Caenorhabditis elegans: one gene and its partners. The protein of the gene in region 2 interacts with the protein of the main gene of each other region in a pairwise test. Each region holds a gene or a part of one and is shown on either strand. Other genes may lie near its edges. The genes, in order: sys-1, rsa-2, spd-5 and rsa-1.

Evidence for each region.
Region 1: the proteins of rsa-2 (region 2) and sys-1 interact in a two-hybrid assay, tested with the Caenorhabditis elegans proteins (one study listed by BioGRID).
Region 3: the proteins of rsa-2 (region 2) and spd-5 interact in a two-hybrid assay, tested with the Caenorhabditis elegans proteins (2 studies listed by BioGRID).
Region 4: the proteins of rsa-2 (region 2) and rsa-1 interact in binary tests that used the Caenorhabditis elegans proteins (3 or more experiments, as listed by UniProt).

The regions. Positions count from the first base shown.
Region 1 is NC_003279.8:9,979,423-9,987,083, reverse strand, and holds sys-1 (Beta-catenin homolog sys-1), read left to right. Parts: upstream 1-2,289; 5' UTR 2,290-2,297; coding exon 2,298-2,372; intron 2,373-2,659; coding exon 2,660-2,844; intron 2,845-3,875; coding exon 3,876-4,188; intron 4,189-4,226; coding exon of another isoform or gene 4,227-4,237; coding exon 4,238-4,345; intron 4,346-4,400; coding exon 4,401-4,478; intron 4,479-4,523; coding exon 4,524-5,059; intron 5,060-5,115; coding exon 5,116-5,341; intron 5,342-5,572; coding exon 5,573-5,899; intron 5,900-5,950; coding exon 5,951-6,455; intron 6,456-6,507; coding exon 6,508-6,590; 3' UTR 6,591-7,021; downstream 7,022-7,661. Other genes in the region: eif-3.C (Eukaryotic translation initiation factor 3 subunit C), read left to right, coding at 7,424-7,524, 7,573-7,661. UniProt on the Caenorhabditis elegans protein: Transcription coregulator. Part of the Wnt signaling asymmetry pathway, probably acting downstream of putative frizzled ligand mom-2, Wnt/frizzled receptors lin-17 and mom-5, and dishevelled homolog dsh-2.
Region 2 is NC_003281.10:11,061,150-11,069,365, reverse strand, and holds rsa-2 (Regulator of spindle assembly protein 2), read right to left. Parts: upstream 5,888-8,216; 5' UTR 5,811-5,887; coding exon 5,692-5,810; intron 5,638-5,691; coding exon 5,588-5,637; intron 5,494-5,587; coding exon 5,245-5,493; intron 5,194-5,244; coding exon 4,814-5,193; intron 4,278-4,813; coding exon 4,075-4,277; intron 3,991-4,074; coding exon 3,762-3,990; intron 3,598-3,761; coding exon 2,539-3,597; intron 2,529-2,538; exon of another isoform or gene 2,441-2,528; intron 2,340-2,440; exon of another isoform or gene 2,268-2,339; intron 2,213-2,267; coding exon 1,745-2,212; intron 810-1,744; coding exon 714-809; 3' UTR 607-713; downstream 1-606. Other genes in the region: W09D6.1 (AMP-dependent synthetase/ligase domain-containing protein), read right to left, coding at 1-84, 166-268, 315-508; spat-2 (Protein lilliputian), read right to left, coding at 7,525-7,556. UniProt on the Caenorhabditis elegans protein: Recruits rsa-1 and, thereby, phosphatase let-92/paa-1 complex to the centrosomes. Recruits sys-1/beta-catenin to mitotic centrosomes during the first embryonic cell divisions.
Region 3 is NC_003279.8:5,170,267-5,178,365, reverse strand, and holds spd-5 (Spindle-defective protein 5), read left to right. Parts: upstream 1-1,711; 5' UTR 1,712-1,768; intron 1,769-2,829; 5' UTR 2,830-2,844; coding exon 2,845-2,896; intron 2,897-2,947; coding exon 2,948-3,135; intron 3,136-3,182; coding exon 3,183-4,280; intron 4,281-4,327; coding exon 4,328-4,409; intron 4,410-4,454; coding exon 4,455-4,852; intron 4,853-4,900; coding exon 4,901-5,114; intron 5,115-5,157; coding exon 5,158-6,043; intron 6,044-6,092; coding exon 6,093-6,343; intron 6,344-6,393; coding exon 6,394-6,725; intron 6,726-6,776; coding exon 6,777-6,872; 3' UTR 6,873-7,064; downstream 7,065-8,099. Other genes in the region: npp-6 (NUP160 middle TPR domain-containing protein), read right to left, coding at 1-163, 222-865, 916-1,041, 1,090-1,394, 1,449-1,530; Condensin-2 complex subunit hcp-6, read right to left, coding at 7,065-7,217, 7,262-7,605, 7,707-7,793. UniProt on the Caenorhabditis elegans protein: Plays a central role in centrosome maturation and mitotic spindle assembly during the first division of the zygote. Required for the centrosomal localization of air-1 and zyg-9. Probably not required in late embryogenesis and during larval development.
Region 4 is NC_003279.8:10,183,347-10,188,153, reverse strand, and holds rsa-1 (Serine/threonine-protein phosphatase 2A regulatory subunit rsa-1), read right to left. Parts: upstream 2,299-4,807; 5' UTR 2,277-2,298; coding exon 2,177-2,276; intron 2,128-2,176; coding exon 1,958-2,127; intron 1,911-1,957; coding exon 1,799-1,910; intron 1,752-1,798; coding exon 1,663-1,751; intron 1,612-1,662; coding exon 1,385-1,611; intron 1,338-1,384; coding exon 1,236-1,337; intron 1,193-1,235; coding exon 1,075-1,192; intron 1,021-1,074; coding exon 937-1,020; intron 895-936; coding exon 682-894; 3' UTR 604-681; downstream 1-603. Other genes in the region: Nucleolar protein dao-5, read left to right, coding at 1-175, 224-382; clec-87 (C-type lectin domain-containing protein 87), read left to right, coding at 2,708-2,858, 2,909-3,275, 3,325-3,508; iars-2 (isoleucine--tRNA ligase), read right to left, coding at 4,222-4,455, 4,506-4,740, 4,789-4,807. UniProt on the Caenorhabditis elegans protein: Regulatory subunit of phosphatase let-92 which recruits let-92/paa-1 complex to the centrosomes, thereby regulating microtubule outgrowth from centrosomes and mitotic spindle assembly ensuring the stability of kinetochore microtubules.

The DNA of each region.
Region 1 (7,661 bases), on a different chromosome or scaffold from region 2:
AAAATGTTGCGTGAAAAATGTCCATTAACCACCAACAAAAAACCCATAACTCGTGAACCAAATTCACTTTTTTAGGCGTCTCACTCCTCTAAAGATTTATCGACCAATTTCCAATTTTGTGCAGAAGCTCAGAAGAAAGGGAGTTTTCAAATAATGACTTTTTCATTCAACACATACCACAAGATACTCTTTATTTTGTATCCGCAACAATGCATTTCACTACTGTATTATATGGAGATGGGGGATAACAATACCGTTCTCTCCGCCCATCTGTTCATGCTCCAAGTGCTCATAAGGACATAGTGGAGGGTAATTACGATTTATTGTTTGAATTTGAAAAGGATCAAGTGAAAAGAACAAAAGTGAAATGATTTATATGTGAAAATATTGAATTAATTTATGATATCTAAAGTTTCAAGCTTAATGTATAGTTATTTTACGATCGATCATAACTTTTTAAAAATTACGATCATATTGAATATATTACTTGGAAGAAGAATTTTTGGTATGTAGTGTTTTTAATTTAGCTGTCAAAAAATTGATAATCTGCTAAGTATGTGAGCTTGCATTTAATAAAATTTTGTTTTCAACTTAGAATTCGTTTTAATTTTAATTTTCAGTGACGTCTGTAATCCTATAAACTAAGTCCCTCCTCCTACTTCTCCACAATCCAGGTGCACTATTTGATAACCCACTTGTAATTCTAGTACTACCTTATGGTCCCTTATGTCACATTGTTTGACAAAGTATATTTGTATAGGTTTCATGTGTATTGCTTGTTTTTTTGTACGGTTTTCTCAGAGAAATTATATTATTTTTTAACTCATAGTAATTAATTTTAGGCGAGATACCGAAAATTCGCAATGTCATCAGTTGCATCTATTTTTGCACCTGTTTTTCGAAATTTTTGAATCGTAGTGATATTTAGTAGAGCCAACTAATAAAACTCGTAGAACGACGTTGCCAGCTGTCCAATGACATTCGGTGTCCATTTCGTTGAAAACATTCAGTTTTCTTTCGAATTGATGATTGAAATCTTGTTTACACATTATTATTATTATTATACAACTCTGTTGACAATTCAACTTACACCCAATTACCATCTCAACTACTGAATAATTACACTTAAACCTATTCAATCACGGAGATACCATCTTCTAGAAGACTTCAGTTGGTGACAACCGTGGGAGGATAAGGTGCAATCCACGTGTCATGCTGCGAAACAATTAGTCTCTAATTAAGAAACTGTGCCCTTTTATTCCATGTTTTTTGTTCTAAATTAAATACAGTAGTTTGTTTCTTGCAAAAATCTACTAGTTTAAAGAGAGGAGGCGCGTTAATGCGCAAGGGTCTCGCCACGCGAAACCCATTTTGTGTATGCACCTTTAAGTTTACGGTAATTTCGTGTTCGCAGTTTCTTTTTTTCCGTGTTTCTTCTTGCACATTTCCATATTTAGCTAACAGAAGTTTTCGTATTTCAACAAAAATTTTAGAAATCTCATTTTGAAAATGAAACATGTCTTAAGCATTAACGATCACCAATAAAACATCAAGTTGTATGGGTTTCCAGGGAATTTTTCAATTTTTTCATTATTTCGAACAAAAAAATTGCATATTCGTTGATTGATATGTTCCTTATTCATTATGCCTATTAAATCAAATTATTCCAATCGAGAATTTGAATTCGTTTTTGAATATTTCTTTAAACATCTTTCCAGGCATGATGTATTACATAATAAAATAGAAAGTAGGTTGTTATTTAGGTTGGTAGGATAGTAGGCCACCACCAGCTCATCTCCTTCACCCATTTTTCACCCCGTACATCACCATTCTCTGCGTCTCATTCAATCACACACAACATCACTTACCAATCTGCGTCTCGTTATTCTTCCTACTATTTATTTGTCTGACCCTCGACAAGTGTCCCATACAGTCTGTCTACGGTTGCCTTCGTTCTCTCTCTCTTCTACATTCATCCGCATGCGTACACCCTCTCTGGTTAGACAGTGAGAGAGCACGTGTATAGTGCTCAAAAAGAGGAGAGTGCAGGCCGTGCGACGGTTGGAAAATGGTGGGTAACGAAAGAATTCAAATGTTGAGACGATTCTGCAGGAAAACGGCCCATTTTTTGATGTTTTCTCTTCCGTTTTCCCGCCTACTTTTAGTTTTTTATTCTTATTTTCCTATTTTTCATAATCCGCAATCATCATATCACCTTTAAAATATAAAAATCACATTTTGAATTATCGATTTTTCAGGCAGACTGTCATCTGGAAAACTGAGTGCACCGGACCTGAATGCATTCAACCGGAGAGCCTCAACGAGGGCCCGCCGGCCCATATCATCATCCGATGCCATATCATGTTGATCAGGTAAGCTTGAAAAACTTCAAAGAAGCGTTTTGCTTCAAAATATCCAAAATTGTCTTAAATTCAGAAAAATCACAAAAAAACAACGAAAAAAAGCGAAAAAGAATGAAAAGACAAGCTTCTAAAATTGCAATTTTCATCTTTTGCCATTTTGGGGGAAATTCAAACAGAGAATTCTGCCAAAATTGAAAATCGCGCTTTTAAAAGTTGAATTTTTCATCCTTTCTGCGATTTTTTTTTCAGTTTTCTTTGTAGTTTTTCGGAAATGAAGACTTAATTCTTATTTTCAGATTCCAACAACATCTCATCCTTCATGGCATCAAGCTCCCCATCCTGGCCTTCCAACACCTCCATATCATCCTCAACAACATCCTAACTATATCTCAATGCAACCTCCTCCTTCCCAACAGCAACAGATGACTCCTCAAGCATTGTCGACGCAACAACAGCAGCAGGTTCAACAACAACAGCAGAGGTGAGTACTATAAGAAAGATTATTATCTAAAGAGACACACCTCATATTGATTGGTGGCTGCGCCCCCCGTCCGTCCGTGGTGTGACAGGCGATATTAGAAAGTTGGGAGACGACGGAAGTGGGAGAGTAAAAACGAGGCTAACGAGCGTTTTCTTGATGGGTGGTGGTTGTACAAGAAAAATGACTGTTTTTTTTTTCGATTTCAATGCCAAATTTCTTTTCCGAGTGCTATTGACATTCGATTTTTAGATTAATTTTAAATGTTATCTGGTAAAAAGTAGATTTTTTGCCTAAATATCACGATAGTAGGTCTTGAAGCGATCAATTAAAAAAAAAGGTGCGCGCCTCTAAGGAGTACTGTAGTTTCCAAATCTTCGTAATTGAAGGATTTCTTTCAAAACTTCTTACACTCAAAATAATAAAACTGCGTGGCGTGTACTGCAGAAAACCTAATATTTAGGCCCCGCCTTTTAATCGTCCACTCACGGGGAAAAGACAAAAATAGGGGAGGGGGGGACAGCTCGCCACGCCAACAGTGAGAAAAATAGTGTGGTGCGCGGACCTCGAATGATGTCGGCGGCTGATATTGCCTGGGGTACCGCTTTTTGCGTTTTCCCCGTGAGTGGACGATTAAAAGGCGGGGCCTAAATATTAGGTTTTCTGCAGTACACGCCACGCAGTTTTATTATTTTGAGTGTAGGTTCTCATCTGTTTCTTTAAATTTGCACCTTTGAGGATTACTGTATTTTCGAACTTCCTTCGCTGCGGAATTTCATAGATTTTTCACACTTTTTTAATAAAATATATAATTATTCACTAAAAACCTAAAATAAAACAATAAAAACATATACATTCGTGAAAAAACCATGAAAAATCGATGGTAAATCTGCGTCAACGAACGTTTAAAATTACTGTACTCCTTAAAGGCGCACGCCTTTTTGCAACAAAAAATAACAACATTTTGCAGATTGGTTTTATAATTAATTTAATAAAATATGATATACCTAAAAACTTTCTATGTTTTATTTCAGGCAACTATACTCGTCACCGTCACCTTCACGAGGTCCAGCGGCTCCCGCACAGAATCAAAAATTTCGGACAGAACAATGGATCAACAATCAAGCATGGCCATATTCTCAATCTCCTGCTCCACCAGTTGCTCCATCAGTTATGTCATATCATCAAGGAGACGATCGAATGTCAATGCTCAGTGTGAATACAACCATGACAAATCAATTTCCCGATTCTCAGCGATGCTACTCATCAAATGGTTCAACATGTGAAAATGTGAATCCTGAAATGATGCAAATGAATATAACACAAGCGGCTGAACAAGCAATTAGGGTTTGTAATTGAAAAATCAATAATGAATCTTGATAAAGTTCAATTTCAGCTATGGTTTAATACACCAGATCCCATGCAAAGACTTCATATGGCAAAAACAATACGAACTTGGATACGACAAGATAAATTTGCACAAGTTGATCAGGCAAATATGCCGGTGAGTTTTCCAAAAATGTTGGAATTCTTTTTACAAAATCTGTAATTTTTTTCAGAACTGCGTACAACAAATCCTTAACATAATTTACGATGGTCTGAAACCTCAACCAGTTCAACTTCCAATTTCATATTATGTAAGTCTCAACACAAATTACAGATTTCAAATCATATTTTTTCAGGCTCAACTCTGGTATAATCTGTTGGATATTCTTCGAAGATTCACATTTCTACCCATTATTTCACCATATATTCATCAAGTTGTTCAAATGTTTTGTCCTCGAGAGAATGGTCCACAAGATTTTCGAGAATTGATTTGCAATTTGATTTCGTTAAATTGGCAAAAAGATCCTCACATGAAACACTGCGCAAATCAGGTGTTTCAAATTTTCAACTGTATCATAATGGGAGTGAAAAACGAGAAATTGAGAACAGAATTCGCTCAACATTTGAAATTCGAAAAACTCGTTGGCACTCTCTCCGAGTACTTTAATCCTCAAGTACACCCGGGAATGATAAATCCAGCAATTTTCATCATTTTTCGATTTATTATTAGCAAGGATACTCGATTGAAAGATTACTTCATATGGAACAATAATCCACATGATCAACCTCCTCCGCCAACAGGATTAATTATAAAATTGAATGCTGTAATGATCGGATCGTATCGATTGATTGCAGGCCAAAATCCTGAAACATTACCTCAAAATCCAGAATTGTAAGTTTAAAAATGAAAAATTCCTCCATCACTAACAAGTTATATTAATTTTCCAGAGCTCATCTTATCCAAGTTATAATCCGAACATTTGATCTTCTGGGTCTTCTCCTTCATGATTCCGATGCAATTGATGGATTCGTACGGTCTGATGGAGTTGGAGCAATTACTACTGTAGTACAGTATCCAAACAATGATTTGATAAGAGCTGGATGTAAGCTCTTACTTCAGGTCTCTGATGCAAAAGCCTTGGCGAAGACTCCATTGGAGAATATATTACCATTCGTAAGTTTTACGTTTAGAAAATCACTGGACTATTAGAAAATTATTTATGTGTTCTTTTACTTTAAAAAATTATACTAGATGCCCCAAACCTATCTAATTCCATAGTGATACTTCACTTTTGTAAGAAGTTTCATTATTAAATTCGGTCGTTTCAGGCTAGTTTTAGTCTATTCAAATTAAAAAAAAACTTCTCTCCCTTCAAATAAACTGTTTAAAACCGGAAATTTTCAGTTACTGAGACTCATCGAAATTCATCCGGATGATGAAGTTATCTATAGTGGAACAGGATTTCTGAGTAACGTAGTGGCTCATAAACAACACGTAAAAGATATTGCTATACGATCCAATGCAATTTTCCTACTTCACACGATAATCTCAAAGTATCCACGACTAGATGAACTTACCGATGCTCCGAAAAGAAATCGAGTTTGTGAAATTATTTGCAATTGTCTGCGTACATTGAACAATTTCCTGATGATGTGGATTCCAACGCCCAATGGAGAAACGAAAACGGCTGGACCGAATGAAAAGCAGCAGGTCTGCAAATTCATCGAAATTGTACGTTTTGGAATTTGAAAAACGATATAAAAATGAATTAAATTATTTCAGGATATTCTGAAAAAACTGATGAGTTGTTTATCATGTGAAGGAATGGATACACCTGGTTTATTGGAACTTCGAAGTACAATTCTCCGATCTTTTATACTGTTACTCCGAACACCATTTGTTCCAAAAGACGGTGTTCTGAATGTTATTGATGAAAATCGGAAGGAAAATTTAATAGGACACATTTGTGCCGCCTATTCATGGGTTTTTCGTCAACCGAACAATACAAGAACTCAATCCACAAAGCAGCAACTTGTTGAACGTACCATAAGTTTATTGCTTGTGCTCATGGAGCAATGTGGAGCTGAAAAAGAGGTGGCACAGTACTCGTATTCAATTGATTGCCCATTAAATCTGCTGAACGGAAATCAAGTGAAACCAACGTTTATTCACAATGTGCTTGTTGTATGTGACAAGATTTTGGAGCACTGCCCGACGCGTGCGGATATTTGGACGATTGACAGGCCGATGTTGGAAGGACTGACGAATCATAGAAATTCAGATATAGGTATGTGTCTCGAAAATGTGTTCATAAATTAAATTACAATGCATTTTTTCAGCTAAAGCCGCGAATTCTCTGCTGAGTCGCTTCCCTGAAAACGACCTTCTTGCTGGTATTTTTTCAAATCGAGAATATTTCTGATTTAATGGATAAATCTGTCAACTCCATCTTTCATCCCAAAAATCCCCGTTCAAAGCCATTAATTCGTCTAGTTGGAAGCTGTTTTAGCGTGTACATAGTCGTATTATTGATTAAAATATGTTCTCTCTTCTTTTCTTCATTTTCTACCGGTCCCAAATTTCCTCATTCTTGACGATTTCATATGAATTCGAGTTTAGAACAAACAAAACGTTCCGATTTTCCTAATTTATAGCACATTTCTTCTCATTTTGCCCTCGGTTTATCTCTTTCTTTTTGTTGTTTCTTTGTTTACGTCTGTAGCATAATATTTTTGAATACAAAACATTTTCGCGATTATCTTTGCATTTTAACTATCAAATTCCTGTCTTATATACGTCTTTCTTCGATGTTCTTACGTTGAATAGAAAATAAAATTATAAAACTTTTTAAATGTTGGATTGATTTACTGAATACTCGGTTCATATATAAGTTATTTAGAGACTATTCTCGTTCTGTAAAATTAACCTGAAATTGTGGAATTGTGATTAAATAATAAATTATTATTTAAATCTCCGCGCAAATGCCCACTGGCGCAAGTGGCGAGTGCTGACGCATCTCCCGTGCACGCGAAACGCGCCAGTAAGGTCTTGCAACGATTTTCTTATGTTCCACTTCCACTTAAATTTATTTCAGCTAAATATTGACCCATTAGCTGTTTTTTGAATTGTTTTCAAAGGGAAAATCGTTTTATTCATTTTAAATTTTAAATAATATTGGAATTTCTGTCTAATTGTGTATCTACTGCTTGTTTGCTTCTTGTTTTGGGATTTCATAATGTCAATTTTGTTTCAGCAATGTCTCGCTTCTTCCATGCTAAGGAGGACTCTGATTCCGACACTTCGTCCAGCGAGGATGAGGTAGAGGATCAAAAAGTGAACAAAAGCGCGAAATTTCGGTAATTATAATCTCCAAAGTAATTCCAAAAGATTGATTAATCTTTCAGCGATGATCTCGATTTCATGGCCGGTCCTGAAGAAGATGAGAAGCGTGTTGTTCGTGCCCAAAAGGACAAAAAATTCGATGAGCTGAAAG
Region 2 (8,216 bases):
AGTAGTCCCGCTAGTTTGAATTACGTAGCAAATGCTCTCCGCCGCTAAAAGTCCGTTCTCATCGTTTTGAGCGATCCTAGATACCTGAAATGTCAGATTATTGAATTTTTTGAGGATTTATTGATTTTTGTTAAATTATCGATTTTTTCACCACGTAGCACTAACATGTTTTCCGTTGAAAACCAGCGTCGTTCGAAACTTCCGCACCACGTCATCAGTATCGCTCGCCGGCGGGCAAAATGTGAACACAAGCTCAAGTCGGAGGCATCTGAAAAATCGATTTTTTCTGGCTGAGTGGGCGGATTGCCACCTACGCAATAACGGCAACAATCGCGTCGAGACCTCTTTCAATCGATATGAAAACCACGTCGGAGCCGGTGATCGCGCGGCAATTTGAATTCCTGAGAATTTCCGTGAAATTATCGATTTTCTCGAAAATATCCTCCGCCGGAATTGTCGCGTTGCAACCCACATCGATAATTTTCAAATTCCGATTGATTTCCGTCATTTTCTGTGAATGTTTTTTTTTGGGAATTTTTCGGCATATCGATTTTTCCAGTATATGTTCAGCGCTTTTTCGCCTTAAAAGTGTGTGTGAAAATAAAAATCAATAAATAAAATAGTTCATAAAATAGCTAGTAGAATAGTAGAGACCATGAATGATATTGCCGATAATAGTGATAAATAGGCGAAAAAAGTATTTAATTAAAAGCCTAAACATCGGTGACCGTCGCGTCGATTTCAGATTCCAGCACCATTTGTCCCAGCTTCTCCTTTTCCGTCGCATATACCTCGTTGGCTTCGTTGATCTGAGAGAAAAATGGTTGAAACTAACGAAAAATCGATTTTTGATTAAAAAAAAATTAGGCAACTTTTTTAAAGGGAGTGCACCCAGTGGGGAAATTGCTTTAGAACATGCCCATGGGGTCACAATGACCAAATATCATGATAAAAAAATTCGAAAAAATTTTCTAGATTTTATATGACTTTTTGAAAATTGGAAAAATCTCAGTTTTCCCCTAATTCCTTTTTAAATTTCCGCCAATTGGATTCGTTCGGTGGAGCACACTTGCATTATTTTTATTAATTTATTTTATTTTTCTCATTAATTCACTGATTTTCTTCATTTTTTGTGTATTTTTATCGGAAAGACAAAGAAAAATGCAAGATAATTGCAAATTGCTCATTAAAAAATCACTGAAAATGCGTAAAACTGTGAAACATGCTAATTTCAGGCTTGTTGTCGTCAGAACTCATAGTTTTAAAGCTTTACCCGTTTTCAGTGATTTTTTAAACAAACAATTTGCATTTATCTTTATCTTTCCGATAAAAATACACCAAAAATGAAGAAAATCAGTGAAATAATGAGAAAAAAATAAAATAAATTAATAAAAATAATGCAAGTGCGCTCCACCGAATGAATCCAATTGGCGGAAATTCAAAAAGGAATTAGGCAAAAACGGAGATTTTTTCAATTTTCAAAAAATCATATAAAATCTAGAAATTTTTTTTGAATTTTTTATCATGATATTCCGTCATTGTGGTACCATAGGCATGCTTTAAAGCAATTTCCCCACTGGGAGCACTCCACCTTGAAACAAAAAAGCTATATTTTCTTTAAAAAAATTGAATTTTCCCGCCAAAATTTTTCACCGAAATTTTGAATTTTCGTCGCTTTTTTTTCCGATTTTTGTATAGATTTTGTGAGATTTTGTGAGATTTTTCACATTTTCACGTTCCGTACCAAATTCTTATTCGCATAACGTGCGGCGATAACTGTCATCTGCACTTGTTGCCATTGATATTTTTGTTTTTCGGCGTCCGGTAGACCTCGGCGTACATCATATCGATAATCCAACTCCATTGGCATCATTCCTTCAAGTTTCTTGCTCATTTTCACATCGGTGCACCATTCCGATTTTCTCGATTCGGGTCCGTGCTCGGTTTGGAGCATTTTCAACGCCTCCGCTTCAAACGCGATTTCCTCATTTTCAGTCATTTTTCGGCCAAATTTCAGGTAGTTTTTATTGATTAAATCCACCACCGCACTCCAAATAAGTATGGAAAACGAGTCGAAATACTCGAAATTGTCGTCGAACTCCATTTGAACATCTTTAAATGAGGGTGGCTGCCAAACATCTTGCGCTGTAAGCCAGTCGACTCCGCGGAGCTCGTCCTGAAGCTCAATTGCCTTTTGAACCATTATTGGGCTCTGAAAAAGTGCGAAATTAAACATTTAGATGTAATAAGAGAAAACAAAAAAGAATGGGCCGAACCGGGGATTGAACCCGGGACCTCTCGCACCCAAAGCGAGAATCATACCACTAGACCATTCGGCCACGGTTTCCCAAGCTTCTTGGGTGTGTAGACATTTCTGTTGAACAAATTCCGCAGAAATTGACACATGGTGCATCATGTCTTTGCCTCCTGGGAAGCAAAGTTTCGCGGCCGAATGGTCTAGTGGTATGATTCTCGCTTTGGGTGCGAGAGGTCCCGGGTTCAATCCCCGGTTCGGCCCATTCTTTTTTACACACTTACAATCTCTTTCAAGAACTCTCGCTGACAATATTCCTCCATATCCATTCCAGCAAACGTCGTTTCATCGGCTTCCGCCGGCACTCTTGGTGTATCTGTCACTGCTGCCGACGCCGCCGCCGGCGGCAAATTGTCAAAAATCGATTTAAGCCGCGGTGCCGGCGAGTTGTCAAGCAAGAATCCCGAATCGTCAGCGCTATCATTATTGCCACGTGGCTCCAGCTCTTCCTCCAGGCTCTGTTCGAATTCATCGTGATTCACAAAGCGTTTCGTCTCGTCTTGCTCGTCCTCCGGATCTATGATTAGGCCCAGTTTTTCGGGCTCTTTGTGCTCCTCAATTTCATGCTCAAATTGTGTAGCATTCGGGTCCTCCGATCCACCGGATGAGTCTTCTCCGTTGTCTGAAGCGACTAGAGTTTCCGGGGATTTGGAATCAGAATGCTCGGAAACCACTTCCTCCAGATTCTCTGATTCTGTAGTGACTGATACCTCAGACACCACGGGAATCTCCAATTCCATGGATTCAGATTCAGATTCCTGAGCTTCCATCGATTCTCTCTCCTTCTTAACTTGCTCCAAATAGTGCGAAAGTCCTGCAGAAAGTCGCCGCGCCGATTCTGAATCCAGAGAAACTCGGCCACTACGTGGCGTCGTCTCTTCCACAGTGGACGGGAAGCTTATATCAGTCTTCAGACGGGAAAATGGCTCGGCGACAGTCTCCAGGCTCTCATTGTGCAGTGAAATGCTATTGAGCATACTATCAAACTCGGCAATCGTCGACACGGGCGCCGTCATCGAAAGTGTCACTGGTGGCCGCTGAGGTTCGGCGGAAACTTCGGCCAGCACCGGTTCAACCACAGGCGGTGTAGTCTGCGAGGACGAGTTGTGTTTCTCCAACAATTGTGAAAGATCCAACGGTTCAACACCAATTCTTCGGGGACTCGTCTGAGTCATTGCAGACTCGGCGAGCCGTGACGTCATTTGTGTCGATGCTTCTCTCATTGAAGGGGGCGGGGCTGCGTCCGACGATGATTGTTGGTTCAGTTGTGATGATGGATTGATCTACAAAAATCAGATTTTTTGAGATTTCTTGAAAAGATCCGCCTATTTTTATGAAATTAGCCAATAAAGGGGCGGGGTTTCATCCGCCTATTTTAAGCGATTTGAAATTCTCTTAAAATAGGCGGATTTTTAAAAGAAATTTGCCAAAAAACGGCTTAATTTACCTTAACAGCTATGCTCTTTCGACTCGTGTTAAGTGATCGATTGAGACTTTTGCTGTTTCTGTGCAACGTGGCGACATTTCGAAAATGGTCGATTGTGATCTTCATTTTTCGCGCCAATTCCAGCATTTCACGGGCGGTTTGAATGTCGAATTCGCGAAACGGCAACGCCATCCAGTTGTCGATGGAGCGCAAAAGCCGCTGATTGTACGGATCGCCGGAGAATGGTTGGCTGTAAACAAAAACCTTAAGAAGCCAAGATATGGGCGCGGAGCCTAAAGAGCAAAAAAATCAAATTTTTTCTTGGAATTTCTACCTTGAAACGAGTTGATGTATAGCCAATTGTGCTTGAGTAAGCTTATCAATTCGATCCTTTAATTCCTGAATGACCGCCCGTTTTTTTGCGTTCTGCGTCTCCACTTCTATGAGTTTCCGTACAGCCTCTGCTTCATTTCGTCGTTTTTTTGCCTCTTCAGCAATTATTGGTGATCTATTAGCGGCCGCGAGATTCTGTAAGAACTTTGGCGACGGTTATGTAGATCAAACATCCGATTTTACGCGCAAATTCAAATTTCAGCAAATTTTTGGTAGGAAATATTAATTTTTAATTGTAAGTGTGTGTTTTTATTTTATTTTTTTAGAATTTTAAAGTCTTTCGGTGTAAAAATTCAATTTTCTGTCGATCACATGCTGCAACTGCGCTCTGGTGCTAATTTATCATTGGAGCGCATTTACAGTAAGTTTCAGCTCAAAATTGACAGAAAAACGTGATTTCTGCTCAAAAATCTGGGAATTGAGTGAAAAATTAAAATTTCCCGCCGATCGCATGTTGCAACTGCGCTCCAATGTCAAATTCGCATCAGAGCGCACTTGCATTATGCGATCGGTGGGAAATGTGAATTTATACAGATGTTTTTTTCATTTTTTGACAATTTCGAGCGAAAAATATGGATTTTTAATTCAAAATTGGCGAAAAAAATCCAATTTTTCGGCGGAAACCCCCAGGAAAAATCGGGTTTTACTGATTTTTTCGAGAAATTTTCCAATTCCTGTACCTTGATGCTCTCCAGCTTTGTCATTTGACGTTCAACACCAACAACAACTCGATCCGAATACTGTAGCTGAATTTGATGCGTCGCGACGAGGGTATCAACATATGAGGTGCGACGAATCGGTGTTTCCGTGGTTTTTTTCACCAAAGGCGACTCAATACGTGGCACACGCGGCTTCAAAGTGTCAATCGGTGGCGGTTGGGATGAGCTACGTGTCACTTTGGCTCTGGGCTCCAGCTGCTCCGAGCTCTCCTGAATCGTCTGCTGACGGGCTTCATGGGGTGAGTGGCCGGAGATCATGAGCTCCTGCATTCTTGAAAAGTTTTCCTCCATTTTCCGGCTCAGACAAGACGTGTATTGCTCTGATAACGGGGTTCTTGGCACTGAAAATTATGAAAATTAGGTTTTTTTTTGAAAGAAATTCAAAAAATTACAATATCTTGGCGGTTTTGAAGACACCGGCGTCGCATCACTGCTACGTGGCTTTTGTGACTTTTTCGACGTGGATGGAGTGACAAATTCGTCATCGGCGGGCTCCGGTGTGAAGTATTGATCGCTGGACGGGGAGGCTTCTGGGGTTGCGGAGTTGCGGCGGCGGGCGATTCGTAGATCACGAGCTTTATCTTTAAGCCGACGATCTTCGTCGTAACGTTCGTAGTCTTCTCGTGTTGGTTGGGGGTTTGCTGGAAATTTAAAAAATTTTTTAAATTAACAAAAAAATTTCAAAAAAACCATTTTTCCTCATTTTTCCCCAATTTTTTCCCAAAGAAAACCTACCCATTGATACAAAAACCGGCTTCTCGCCTTCCTCCATGTTTTCCTTGTTTCTGAAACTCAGAAAATAAATAAATGGTTGCCATGGGGAATTTCCCCCTGCTTACCTTATTTTTTCGTGGTGATCGCGATATTTCGGCTCGAGGAGCACACTTTTCGCGGGTTTTTCGTCGTTTTTTGCGAGCCACGACTTGAAACTGCCCTTAAATACAGGAATTTTCGACATTACGCGGGGAAAATAGTGCGAAAAATTGATTTCGCGTTTGAATTAAAGAATATTTTCGCGGCGACGCCAGTGTGTGCAAACACCGTCACGCGAAAATGCAGACGGCGAGAGAGTGTGGGGAGACGAGGAGACGCAGGGTTTTCTTTGCTGTTTCTTTGTTGATTAATTGCAGATTTTACAGGATTCTCGGGTCAAAAATAGCGGAAAAGTGGGAAAAAAAACTTGAAAACCCTTAAAAATCAGTATAAAATTGATAAATTATTAAATATACAGCTTCTAAACAGTTTCAAGTCAAAAATCAGATTTTTCAAACTAAAAATGATTTTTACCATTTTTGAAACCAATTATTATTATTAATTACCCAAATTCGATAAAAACTCGCTCGAAAACCGAGATTCCTACATTTCGCAAAAATTTCAGTTCCGAAAAATGCGCGCGTCACGCTTGCAACCGGTAGGACATGCCCACTTTTCCGTGCGCGGTCTGCAATTTTTATCCGATTTCAAAATTTTCTGTAATTTCCAGACAAAGAAACGTCCACTTTTATTATTCCAAAGCGGAAAATCATATAAACGGGGGCTTTTTCTAAACAAACAGACAATTTGGGGGCGGTGGGGCGGAGTCAACACGAAAATTTTAAGTAAAGAAAAAATTGGGATTGAAAATAATAATAATATGAATATTGAAGTCGAAATGTGTGCAGGAAAGGGGCGGAGTATAATTTAACGGGGAAAAATTGTAGAAAACGGGGGGCGGAGAAAGGCAATGAAATGGGCGGTGCTTAAAAACGGGGGCGGGGCTTATGTGTGTGAGACATCACAAAGATATTTAAAAATCGGGAGAGATATGAAAATTGTGACTTAAACAGAGAACGGGGGACCCGATATATATATATTTCATTTTCAACATTTTGAAAATGAATTTGTTGAAATTTTGGGAAATTTTTGAAAAAAAATCACATTTTTTGAAATTTTCAGGAAAAAAAGTTGGAAAATTTTAATAATTTTAGCTTGAAATTTTATTAGAATTGTTTGAAAATTCAGATTTTTGCAGATTATTCCCAAATTTTGGTTGAAAAATGGCTAAAAACTCAAAAATAAAATCTACCAAATTTCAGAATTTCTTAGAAAATAGTGGATGATCGTATGAAAATTTGTGAATTTTGGCTAAAAACTCGAAATTTTTGATAATTTCAGCTGAAAATGAACTAAAAAAAAAAAATGTAAAATCCGCAAAAATCTCAATTTTCTAACAAATTTTGCCTGAAAATTCGATTAAAATCGCCAAATTTTAAATTAAAAATTTCCGGGGGAAAAGGGGGAATATTTCACAAAATTGGGGAATTCTTGGGGGCAAAAAAATGGAAGAAAAAAAACTCGCAACATTTCGAAGAGGAACACATGATAACAGGGAAATTATACCAGAATTACGTAAGGAGAAGAGAGATTTTTTGTTTTTTGGAGAGAGAGTTGTTGTGTGGGGGAAAGATTTTCAGAATTGGATGGAAGGGGTCAAATTTGAATATTTTTGAATGAGGGGAAAGCAATGGGACAAAAAAAAAAGGCAAAAGTGAAGGAAGAACTAAAAATATTTCAATTCATATATAAAAATGATTGAGCGGTGATGATGATTATGATTGGAGAGAGGAATTATAATTAATAACAAACAAAAAAACAAAATCAACGATAGAATTCTCGATTGATTCATTAGACGTTTATTTCTTCTTTGGGACGAATGTGATGGGCTCTGAAACAAATTGGATTATTTTTGGGGTTTTAAGAGAATTTTTCAAGTTTTTGGGATTTTTAGGACAAATTTCCAATTTTTTCTGGTTCTGGACTTTTTGAAGATAATTTTTCGGTTTTTTTGGCATTTTTAAGATAAATTTTCAATTTTTTTTTGGACTTTTTGAAGATTTTAAAAAGGTTTTTTGGCATTTTTAAGAGAAATTTTTCGGTTTTTTGGAATTTTTTAAGAGAACTTTTCAAGTTTTTTTGGGATTTTTAGGATAAATTTCCAATTTTTTTGCCATTTTTTGGAATTTTAAGAGAACTTTTCAATTTTTTTTCGAAATTCGCAGAGATATTAAGGAAAATTTAGTTATTTTTTAGCGATTTTGCTAGCGATCGAAAATTTCTCATTTTTTCAGGAAAAATTCAAAAAATTGCACAGCTTTTTGAAAAATTCCAATAATTTTTTTTTGAAGAAAACAGATAAAATTTGCATTTTTGTAGAATTCTGAATTTCCAAATAATTTTTTTATTGACTAACAATTTTAAAAACTCGAATTTGGGAAAAATTGCAATTTTCGGTCTCAAATTTAGGGTTTTTTTGTGAAAAATCGACAAAATTCATATAAAATTCGCGAAATTCCCATTTTTCCGAGTTTAAACATTTAAAATTTTA
Region 3 (8,099 bases), on a different chromosome or scaffold from region 2:
GAACTGACGAACGGAATGCCAATCGAAATCTGTGAAAACTCGTCCCTTTTTCCATTGGATAGCAAATGAGATCCGTTTCATCGAATAGGTTTTCTTTGCAGATGAACTTTTGAAAAGAGCAGAAAGTGAAAATAGTGCAGCTGTGAGAGGATTATACAATTCCCTGAAACAATTTTATATTTAGACAAGAAAAAAACCCATTTTATAACAACGATTCTTACCCATCTTGTGTCTCATCAAGACTTTCCGATTCCTTTGATGGGAAATAGTTTTGAATAAGCTCGAGATCAACAAGTCGTTCATCAACGGACATCGATGTTTCGAACATTTGTAGATGTTGAATTTGATCATTTGAAACTTTGAGAATATGAACTCTCATCCCGACGCTTTTTCCCGAAACTGCCAAATCACATCCAACAATCAGAAGAATATCCACATCGAATGAATAAGCTCTGATAGAATATACAGTTTCAGTTGGTTCCATTGGAGACTTTTCTTCCTCGAAGTCTGCAGATTCTAGATCTCGATTCAAAGATTTTCCGTCTGAAGCAAAGTAGTTATTCAAGTCAATAGTGCTTGGCAATTGTTTTTTCGTCTCAACATTCCATGCTTGCACCCATCCGTCTCTGGTAACAGCGAACACAATATCGGATTGGACTGAAATTTTTCGCTCTCTCGTGACTCCAGAAGTCGGGCGAAGATTCTTCATAACACATGCATCACTGACTCGTTTATCAGTGCCACCTAGAAGTTTTCCCAGAAGACCAACTTCTCCCATTGTGAATTCTTCGTGTTTATCACTGGATTCCGTGTATGATCCCAATGTGACAATGACCAACTGCCCTTCAGCGGTACAGTAAGAAATCTGAATTCAAAATTCGAAATATAGGTTGTAATCAATTTCCATTTTTATACCGTATTTCTTGAAGGATGATGTGTAACACTTGCACGAATCGGGCGCCCTGGTGTTGAAAGGGAGTGAGATGTTCTGAATCGGCGGAAATCGTCATCTTCTTTAATTCTTGCAAGAATTGAGAACGTCTGAAAATAATTATTCTCATTCGATTATGGAAATTTTTGAGAACAAACATCATGGCCTTTGGAGTGGAGTCTCGCGTAGAAACGATGAATTGCAGAAGCTGTGGGAACGACAATACATAAAACCCCTTCCTCGAAAATTGTTATCGATGTTCCAGGAATAATAGGTGTGCGTGTGAAGTCAATGCACAACGATCCATCCGTGATTGAGTAGAGCAAAGAACGCTCCTCAATGAACAGTTTCTGGCCAATCGCACGCCACAGGAAAATCCGATCGCCGTAATTTGAGCAGTGCGGAAATGTTGCAACTCCTGCGGACGGTTGCACATCAAATCCATTCGAATGAAGCGGCGCATCTAAAAAAGTGAAATTTGTTGTAGAAACAATTATTTAATGAAATTGAAACTTACTGGTGTTTACCACAAAAGTTCTAGCCGGCTTTATAGCAAATCCATCCGTGAAGCTGATTTCCGACCCGTAAACCAGCTCCATCTGAAATTAAGCATAAAACACGATGTTAAAGCAAAAGAGAAATATGGAGATGAAATAAACACGTTCAAAAATATTTAAATATCGTTAAAAACAATTTTTCATTGGCGTGAACTTGTTTTACTTGTTTTTTATACGTTTTTTTATACGTGAAAAAATGGAAGAAAACAATTCACTTTAAATTTTAATCACTTATCGAGAAGGTTCTCATTGGATTCAAAGAAAAACTTGTTAGAAATTTGTGAGTTTTTACAATAAGCTTCATATTTTGACACTTTGCGATGTAAAATTTTACAAAACAATGATGAATTGAGCCGAAAACGCCTCCATATGGAGCTCCATTCGAATTCAAAAATAAGGGGCGTGGCTGCATGAGCAATACCGCCGCATGGTATTTCGCAACATGCGCACACTTTTTCTCTGTCAAGAAAAACGAGGCCCCACGAAAAGGGGATCTGCAAAAAGGGGATCTGCGAAAAGGGGAGATACGAAAAGGGGAGATACGAAAAGGGGAGCAACGAAAAGGGGATCTGGCACTGTGCCAAACGCTATTTTTCTCGAAGAAAACGATACAACGATTGTCGCGAATACGCAGAATACTGAGTCATCAACAATGACAAAGCCGGGAAACTCCTGTTTGAAAGCCGCGCCAAAAGACACACACGTCACGCGTGTTACAGTACTACCACACATGCACATCAAACCCCAACACGTCGACACCACGCAAGGAAATCGTCACTTCTTCGTTTTACTCTTGGACCGGCAGGTCGCATGTTAAATATATGAGCTTTCTCATTTTTATCATTTAACGGATTTATCAGTAATAAATTATATAATTCTACCACTTTTGAACCTATACCGATCCGAAACATGGTGCATCGGCTCCGATGTTACGCGTCGCGTGTTGTTAAGCGTATCTTCTAGAAGAAAATTTCAAAAATCAACGTGCGTTGCGTGAGAAAAATTGCGTTTTGTGCGTTTGGCACAGTGCCAGCTCCCCTTTTCGTTGCTCCCCTTTTCGTATCTCCCCTTTTTGCAGATCCCCTTTTCGTTCTGCTCCCCTTTTCGTGGGGCCTCAGAAAAACGCGCGCCTAAACGTGAATTTTGAATTTTCTCCGCGTCCGCGAAATTCTTACGTTTCCATAGTAACAAAAGTTGGTCCGCACTTGTTTTTCATGATTATGCACGCCCAAAGAACGGTGCTGAAGCTTCAAATTTTGCAACCTCCTGTTCATTTTGACTCAAAACTCTTAATCCCAAAAAAACGCTCAATTTTGTTTTCGAACCCGTTTCTTGTTTCAGAAAACTTCGCGTTAAATGGAGGATAATTCTGTGCTCAACGAGGACTCCAATCTCGAGCATGTCGAGGGTAATTATAACATTTAAAATCAATAACTGCATAAATGCAAAGGTTTTTTAGGCCAGCCACGAAGATCTATGTCGCAACCAGTTCTGAATGTTGAAGGAGACAAAAGAACGTCTTCGACCAGTGCCACTCAACAGCAAGTATTGTCAGGAGCATTTTCGTCTGCTGATGTTCGTAGCATCCCCATCATCCAAACATGGGAAGAAAACAAAGCGCTTAAAACAAAAATAACTATCCTGAGAGTAAGTAATTTATCATATGCTTATTTAGAAATGATTTGAGTTTGTAGGGAGAACTGCAAATGTATCAGCGCCGGTATAGTGAGGCAAAGGAAGCGTCGCAGAAGAGAGTTAAGGAAGTTATGGACGATTATGTCGATCTCAAATTAGGCCAAGAAAATGTTCAAGAGAAAATGGAGCAATACAAACTGATGGAAGAGGATTTGCTAGCAATGCAATCGAGAATTGAAACTTCCGAAGACAATTTTGCCAGACAGATGAAAGAATTTGAGGCACAAAAGCATGCAATGGAGGAAAGAATCAAGGAACTGGAATTGTCCGCTACTGATGCAAACAACACAACTGTCGGATCTTTTCGTGGAACTCTTGATGACATTCTGAAGAAAAACGATCCAGATTTCACATTAACCTCTGGTTATGAAGAAAGAAAGATCAACGACCTGGAGGCAAAGCTCCTCTCTGAGATCGACAAGGTAGCTGAGCTGGAAGATCACATTCAGCAGCTCCGTCAAGAACTTGACGACCAATCTGCAAGGCTTGCCGATTCAGAAAATGTTCGCGCTCAGCTTGAAGCGGCCACTGGACAAGGAATCCTCGGAGCTGCTGGAAACGCTATGGTTCCAAATTCAACGTTCATGATCGGGAACGGTCGTGAATCACAGACGCGAGACCAGCTCAATTACATTGATGATCTTGAAACGAAGTTAGCTGATGCGAAGAAGGAAAATGATAAGGCTCGTCAGGCACTCGTTGAATACATGAACAAGTGTAGCAAGCTTGAGCACGAGATTCGAACCATGGTTAAAAATTCGACATTTGATTCTTCTTCCATGTTGCTTGGTGGTCAGACATCCGACGAGCTTAAAATCCAAATAGGAAAGGTGAACGGTGAATTGAATGTGTTGAGAGCTGAAAATCGAGAACTCCGCATTCGTTGTGATCAATTGACCGGAGGCGATGGAAATCTTAGCATTTCACTGGGACAAAGTCGACTGATGGCTGGTATTGCGACTAATGATGTCGATAGCATTGGACAAGGAAATGAGACTGGCGGAACATCGATGCGCATTCTTCCCAGAGAAAGTCAATTAGATGATCTTGAAGAAAGCAAATTGCCGCTCATGGATACATCATCTGCTGTTCGAAATGTAAGTGTATGAAAATTATTATTTAAAATAAAGTCTTGAATATTTAGCAGCAACAATTTGCCTCCATGTGGGAAGATTTCGAGTCAGTGAAAGACAGCCTGCAGAACAACCATAATGACACCCTTGAAGGTAGTAAAATTGATTCCTAGATTTTTTGAAATTGATTATTGTTAGGTTCCTTCAATTCGTCAATGCCACCACCTGGTAGAGATGCAACTCAATCGTTCCTCAGTCAGAAGTCTTTCAAGAATTCTCCGATTGTAATGCAGAAACCAAAATCACTTCATCTTCACCTGAAGAGCCATCAATCCGAGGGAGCTGGCGAACAAATACAGAATAATTCGTTTTCTACGAAGACTGCTTCTCCTCACGTGTCACAAAGTCACATTCCAATTCTGCACGATATGCAACAAATTCTGGATTCTTCTGCAATGTTCCTTGAAGGCCAGCATGATGTAGCTGTAAATGTTGAGCAAATGCAAGAGAAAATGTCCCAGATCAGAGAGGCTCTTGCTCGACTTTTCGAAAGACTTAAATCTTCTGCTGCTCTTTTTGAAGAGATTCTTGAAAGGGTATGAAAACTGTCAAGTTGTGAATCTGTAAATCTGAGTTTTTTGTAGATGGGATCCAGTGATCCAAATGCGGATAAGATCAAGAAAATGAAGCTCGCATTTGAAACAAGTATTAACGACAAGCTCAATGTATCTGCCATCTTGGAAGCAGCGGAGAAGGATCTTCATAATATGTCACTCAATTTCTCAATTCTCGAGAAGTCGATAGTTAGTCAGGCTGCGGAAGCTTCGAGAAGATTCACTATTGCACCCGATGCTGAAGGTAATATAAATTTTAGAGACGCTCATAAATCAATATTTTCCAGATGTCGCCTCATCTTCTCTTCTCAATGCCTCGTATAGTCCACTCTTCAAGTTTACAAGCAATTCAGACATAGTGGAAAAGCTTCAGAATGAGGTATCGGAGTTGAAAAATGAATTGGAGATGGCTCGTACACGAGATATGAGATCTCCATTGAACGGTTCGTCTGGAAGATTGTCGGATGTGCAGATCAACACCAATCGCATGTTTGAAGATCTCGAAGTATCTGAAGCAACGCTACAAAAGGCTAAAGAGGAAAATTCTACATTGAAAAGTCAATTTGCTGAACTCGAAGCCAATCTCCATCAAGTTAATTCTAAGCTTGGAGAAGTGCGATGCGAGCTCAATGAAGCGTTGGCTCGTGTGGATGGTGAACAGGAGACTCGTGTCAAAGCTGAAAATGCATTGGAAGAGGCTCGTCAGCTCATCAGTTCTCTAAAACATGAGGAAAATGAGCTCAAGAAAACCATTACTGATATGGGGATGCGATTGAATGAAGCAAAGAAGAGCGATGAATTCTTGAAAAGCGAGTTATCTACCGCGCTGGAGGAAGAAAAAAAATCCCAAAATCTAGCAGATGAGTTGAGTGAAGAATTGAATGGGTGGAGAATGAGAACAAAAGAGGCGGAAAATAAAGTTGAACATGCTTCATCCGAGAAATCTGAAATGCTTGAAAGAATTGTTCATTTGGAGACTGAGATGGAGAAGTTGTCGACTTCAGAAATTGCGGCCGACTATTGTTCTACGAAGATGACAGAAAGAAAGAAGGAAATTGAGTTGGCGAAGTATCGCGAAGATTTTGAGAATGCCGCTATTGTAGGATTGGAACGTATCAGTAAGGAGATATCTGAGCTAACCAAGAAGACTTTGAAAGCCAAGATTATCCCAAGGTATTATCAAACGTCGTGCTTGTTTTTTTTTATTTGAGAACATTTTCAGCAACATCTCATCGATTCAACTCGTTTGCGATGAACTCTGTCGTCGTCTTTCCAGGGAACGAGAGCAACAGCATGAATACGCGAAAGTTATGAGAGACGTCAATGAAAAAATTGAAAAGCTTCAATTAGAGAAAGATGCTCTCGAACATGAGCTGAAAATGATGAGCTCTAATAACGAGAATGTCCCACCAGTTGGAACATCGGTCAGTGGCATGCCTACTAAAACATCGAATCAAAAGTGTGCTCAACCTCGTAAGTCATACTTATGCACATCAGAAGTTGAATTTTCACCAATTCTCCAGATTACACGAGCCCTACTCGACAATTGCTCCACGAATCAACTATGGCTGTCGACGCAATTGTTCAGAAACTCAAGAAGACTCACAATATGTCAGGAATGGGTCCAGAGCTTAAGGAGACGATTGGCAACGTCATCAATGAATCCAGAGTTCTTCGCGATTTCCTCCATCAGAAGCTCATTCTATTCAAAGGAATCGATATGTCCAATTGGAAGAACGAGACCGTCGATCAACTGATCACAGATCTCGGACAATTGCATCAGGATAACTTGATGCTTGAGGAGCAAATCAAGAAGTACAAAAAGGAACTGAAACTGACAAAATCCGCCATCCCGGTATGAAATTCTTTTTCTATTGAAATCTATTTTGAAAAATATCATTTTCAGACACTTGGTGTCGAATTTCAAGACAGAATCAAAACGGAAATTGGCAAAATCGCAACTGATATGGGAGGAGCTGTGAAGGAAATTCGCAAAAAGTGAACTGATCTGTTAATGTATTAAAATGGAACCAGTTTTATCAACACTATCATCTCGACAAGATTAACTTGTAACGATTGTATTGTTTTCCCAGCCTAAAGATACACCTAATGCATCTATCAATGTACTTGTGAATTAAATGCTTCTTTTCTGGTAGTTGACTGCAATCCCATTACAGATAATAAAAGGAACAGATTAATTTAATGAAAAAACAGCGGACAATCTTACAATAATACAAACAGTTGAGATAAATAAGACAAATTTCGATGGAAGATTTATACAATGACATTGATCAGCTTTCCTCTTCATCCTCTTCGAAGATATTGTGAAGGTGATAAGCTTGACTTTCTGTAAAATTAAGGCGTTTTGTAAATTCAAGAAATTGTGAATACCTTACTTCTGTTTTTCAAGTCTTCCTTTTCGGTAATAGCCGACAAATTAAGGGAGAATGTGACATCGCTTGGATCTGCGTCTTCTCGTGATCGAATCGGAGTTGAACAATGACGTCCTGCACCAAGCTTACTTTCATCGAAAATCAACGGAGTCACTCCGCGTGACAGTGGATCATTTTCAGTGTTACCAGATGAACTTGTTGGCACATTTTCCTCTTCCTCGTCAACAGATTTCCGTTTTCGATTAGAATTCTCTTTCACGACTGGTGGCTCTGTTGACTGACCCCGACGACTACGACGCAAAGTGACGTTGGCCGAAATATTGACTTCCTTTTCCGGGGATTCTTCAAGAAAATAAATTATTTAAAACACATTTTTTCTTGTGTGAAAGCGTGGTCAATAAAATACAGCAAATTGAACAATGAAATCAGGAAAAATAACTTACTGTTGACAATTTTCGGCTTCTTCCATATTTTTCCATCAGCATCCACAGACTCTTCATCATCGTAATTTGGCGTTTTTCTACGACGAGCTGGAATAATTTTTGAATTCAGACGTTTTTTTTAGTATTGTTTATTGTTTTCGACGATTATGCATTGTAGTTTTTTTCAATCAAAAGTGAGCGAAAAGCCTGTCGTTAACTAACAAATTAATATAATTTTCTGTCGAAAAATAACACTCGGAATTGTATCTAGTTCACAAATGCCCAAAATTATCAGATTTTGCAACAACCAAAAAATTAAAACCAAAATTATTTCTCCAGTTTCGAAAGAATTTTTCTTGTGCAAAAAAAATCTAATTTATTAGATTTATCTAAGCTAAGTTCCCTTTCATCCAA
Region 4 (4,807 bases), on a different chromosome or scaffold from region 2:
CGCCGAGACCGAGGAGAGCAGTTCAAGAACACCGGCTTTGAAGGCAAAACCATTGGCTACCTCGACTGAAAAGGCGGTCTATGAAAACCGAAAAAGAAAGTCTTCACCATTCCGACGCGTGCAAATGACAAAGGATAGCGTTTCTGAAAAATTTAGAAACAACCAGCATGATTCGGTAAACATATAGCGACTACGAACAAAGTTTAACTCGATTTATTTTCAGCACTTCGATCAATGGGGACAGCGTGCCAATGAAAGCCTAGGAAAAGTTGTTGGAAAAGCATTCCGTCATGAGAAAACTAAGAAGAAGAAGGGAAGCTACGGAGGTGGTCCAATCAACCAATCTATTAATTCTATCAAGTTCTCTGACTCTGACGATTAGTTTCTTAACTTTATCCTTAAGTTAATTTGTTTCCAAAATTGTTTCTCACCCCCGTCTACACTTCGTTTTTTATCTGTTGTCTGTTGCTTTCCTTTTTGTTTCCCCTTTAAATTTATAATCCTGAGTTGATCCAAAACAAATGTTTTGTATACTTTTGTTACTTCAAATATAACTTGTTATGTTTCCGTTTTTCTCCCTCTTGTCTCATCCATAAAATGTTTGGTCCAAAAGCTGTTTATTACCCTTGCAGGCCGAAATGAGTGGTTAGAATAGTTTTAAAAATAAAATTAGCGGGACTGCTATTGCTCGCGTCGTTCGTACTTCATGTAATCATCGGAATTGGAGAGGAATCCAGCAAACGTCGAGTTCATCCGATTAGCAAGAAACTCTTCCAATGTAATTCCATTCTGATTCAGACGCATCATATCTCTCAGTTCGGCAGTTGCTACTTCCGGGTTCACACTATTATCTTCCGGGACGTAATCTGGCAGGTTTTGAAGCTGAAATGATGACTTTTAAGCGATGAGAAAGTGTTCTTGGAGAGTTTTACTCACTATTGATCGAATTTCTTCCTCATCCAACAGTCCATCATCCTTTAGATCCAGAATTTCGAAATGGTATTTGGCGGAGGCAGTGGTCTGGAAATTTATTTTTTAGAACAATTTTTTGGTTCTGATTAAAAAATCGCTTACATGACGGAACTTTAGAGCGGTGACAAAATCAACGAACGCTTTGAAATCAATACGTCCATCTTCATAGGTTATTGAAATTTCGAAGATTCGCTTGGTGAAAACCTCATTGAAGATTCCGCTGAAAAATAGGATTTATAGACTGAAAAATAATTTCTTCATACTCTCTGAAAAATTTCAAGTCCGCTGGCGCCAACAATCCCTTTCGTTGGGAGTCAAGGAATCGGAATTCTGATAAAGTGGTTCGAAATTGAGCGACGGTGAATCTGAAAAAAGACTTTTTGAAGCAATTTATGGCACTGATAAATCATACACATCAATTTTCGGAGGTGATAAGCAATGATTCTCTGCATGAATACACTCTTCGAGTTGTAGTAGAAGTGTTGAAGCAAGTAAATCCTTCAAATATACACAGTCTCGCCGTCGAGCACCCAATAGGAAAAATATTGTTCCAACTGCGTAAGCTGTATAATAGACAGGATTTTCCGGTTCTTCAATCATAATTGGAATAAAATGTGTGGCCACAAAGTCTTGGAGACTCTGAAAATAGTGTCAGGATAATAGCTTTTAGAGTAGAAATAAGATACTTACATAACTGGAAATCTCTGTGCTATTTTCTGAAAATGGAAGAAGTTTGATGTAGGACTCCTCAGCGTGAATGACTGTTCGTACAAGCTCCTCTGAAATTCAAATTCTTTATAATAAGAACTCCCTGCTTTGCACAAACCTAAAAGAGTGATATCAATTGTTAAATTATAATTGGTTATTTTAACGAAATTCGACACTGTGTTATGTGGAAGTAGATCTTTGATTGATTGTGGTGAAGTTTTGAGTATTTTCTGAATAATTGCACATTCTTAATTATTGAATTCACCGAGAACCTTACCATTAATCGAGTTATCGTCACATATCTACTTTCTCCCCCTTCACCCCAATTTAAATCGATTTTGTTCGATCGAATGATGTTTAAAAAGCATTCGGCATTTTTTTTAAACTCCTCTACATCTATTCTTCGATTTTCGGCAAATATATCCATAACTCGATCATTAAATGTTCCTGAAAGATAATACCGCTGAATAATACATTTTCGCTGAACCCAACTCACGTTCGAAGTCACTCAATGCTTCGTTACTTTTCTTCAACATCAGGGATGTTGGAATCGTTGGTAAAATGGATTTTCGCTTCGAAGGTTCGTCGGTTGGCATAGTGACACGAAAATTGCAAGGGAGGAGAGAATTGAATTCGAATCTCGAGCGTTATTTTCTGTTGAAAATGGGCGCATTAAGTGCGCTCCACTGCATATTTTGTTAATATCAAGGGCGGCTATTCAAAATATAATTTTCAAAATTAATTACAATTTTTTAAAACAAGATCTTGCCCTTTTAAAAGTTAAATATTTTCATAAATGAAAATCTGCAGTGTGCTACAGAACATTTAAACCATCATCCGTGCTTCAAATTCATAACACCAGTTCAGAAATGAAGTTTAGGATATTTCTAGACTTGATTTGTTTTGAAATTATTATTTGATCTCTGTCTATTAGCGGCGCGCATTTGTGAAAATTTCAGGAAACGGCGGCAAAAATGTGCATAAAAGGAGAACGAAACGTTCATTTCCTCAGTCTTCACTGCTCATCATGCGTTTTTGCCTTCTCGTTGCTTTCATCCTTCCTGGGCTATTCCTCGTTCATGCAGCTCCGACTTCTTCAACCGAGCTTCCTGAAGCTAGTGGTGAAGCTCCAGAAACATCACCATTGGTTCAAAACGACGAACAGCCGCATCAACGACGTAAGTTTCTTTGAAATCTTTAAATTTTCGTTAAAAGTAACAAATTTCAGTGACGTTCTACAACTGGGACTACAAGGATCTCGGCACAACGGCATTCGAAGACATCTCGTTCCCAGCTCGACAGCCGCCAGCCTTCGTCAATCAGACTGAGAAGTGTCCCGATGGATGGCTTCGGTTCGCCGATTCGTGCTACTGGATCGAGAAGGAGCTTCTTGGATTCGCCAAGGCCGAGAGAAATTGCTTCGAGAAGCAGTCAACACTGTTCGTGGCCAATTCGATTGAAGAGTGGGACGCAATTCGTGTTCAAGCCAAGGAAGCCTTCTTTTCGTGGATCGGACTTGTCAGATTCACCCATTACGAGAAGTTGGAGCAGTTGCCAAGATGGCAGACTGAAGGAGCTCTCAATCCAACCAAAATGTAGGTTTTGTCAACAACAATTGATTGCTTCTAAATTTAATTTTTTCAGCAACTGGCTCATCAAACCATACAAGCCACTCTTCAACGGTTGGTCATCACTCGCCAATTGTGCTGCCAGCTACAAATCACCATCATCCCTGGAATCGGCATCATACACGTACTTCTACCCGTGCACGTATATGCTGTACTCCATTTGTGAACGCAATTCGACCATCGTCAACGCGTTGCAGTGAAGCCTTCTGTACTTCTGACACCAATCTAATCATGTAAACAATCATCCACAACTAATCGTTTATTATTTGTCACCGGGTTCCATCCCCCTTACGTTTGACAATCATTGCACTCACTTTATAAATTTTGAGACGTTATGTATTTATATCGGAAAATAAATTTTCAACATCAAATCCTGTTTTCTATCTGAGGACCTCTTTTGCTTGAAGCAAGTCGAGCATGACGTCAAGTTTTTCTTGCTAGAAGTTGGTGTTTCGGGAAATTGATGTGCAAACATAAATTAAGAGGCACCACGTTTTCAAGATCTGTTCAAAAACAAGATCTACGAAAACAAGATCCGCCAAAACAAGATCTACGTTTTCAGGATCTGGCACCGTGCCAACTGCGGTTTTCTCTACGCGTCGCGTGTTGCTAAGCGTAAATTCTAGAAGAAAATTTCAAAAAATATTCGTTTGAACGCTAAACAACACGCGACGCGTAACATCGGAGCATCGTTGTTTGGTTTTCTTCGAGAAAACCACAGTTGGCACGGTGCCAGATCTTGAAAACGTAGATCTTGTTTTGGTAGATCTTGAAAATGTAGATCTTGTTTTGGTGGATCTTGTTTTCGTAAATCTTGTTTTTGAACAGATCTTGAAAACGTGGCGCCTCTAAATTAAAACATTTACTTTCCTAAAATAAATCAAATTACAATGTTCTACAAAAATCATCTAATTTAACGAGAAAGTCCCATCGCATCTGAGCATCTTCCGCATAGAGCATCACTTTCATTCCGAGTGTGCTTCCGGCATCTCTCACAATATCGCAACCGGCTTTCCACGAGCTCAACAGAATTTTCATCCCGATTTTCATGCAGTATCACTTGTGAAACATTTAACAATTCTGGCAGCTCTGATTCGTAAATGCGAAGAATTGTGTGGTATTCTGGTGTCACTTGAAGAACAATTCCCTGTAAATAAATTCAATTGATCTGGTACTGTTTTTTTCTAGAAAACGTACTTTTTTAGAAGTATCAATCTTTGGACCAGCAGTTGACTCTAAAAGATTTCGAACTTCGTATACGAATTTCATGTGCTTTGAAAGCTGATCATGTGGAGTGAGAAGTCCATAATGAAGATCTTCAAATTTCAAGCGAAGAATTTGTTTTTCATGGGATCCGGGAAGGTGCTGGAGGACTTCTGATGATAAATGCGGAAGGATTGGAGATATGATATGAGCTAGATTGTGAGCAAGCCTGAAAAATAATGAATAAAAAGAGTTCTAAAAATCTTACTTGAAATACCTATGGAGAGTGAATTGAG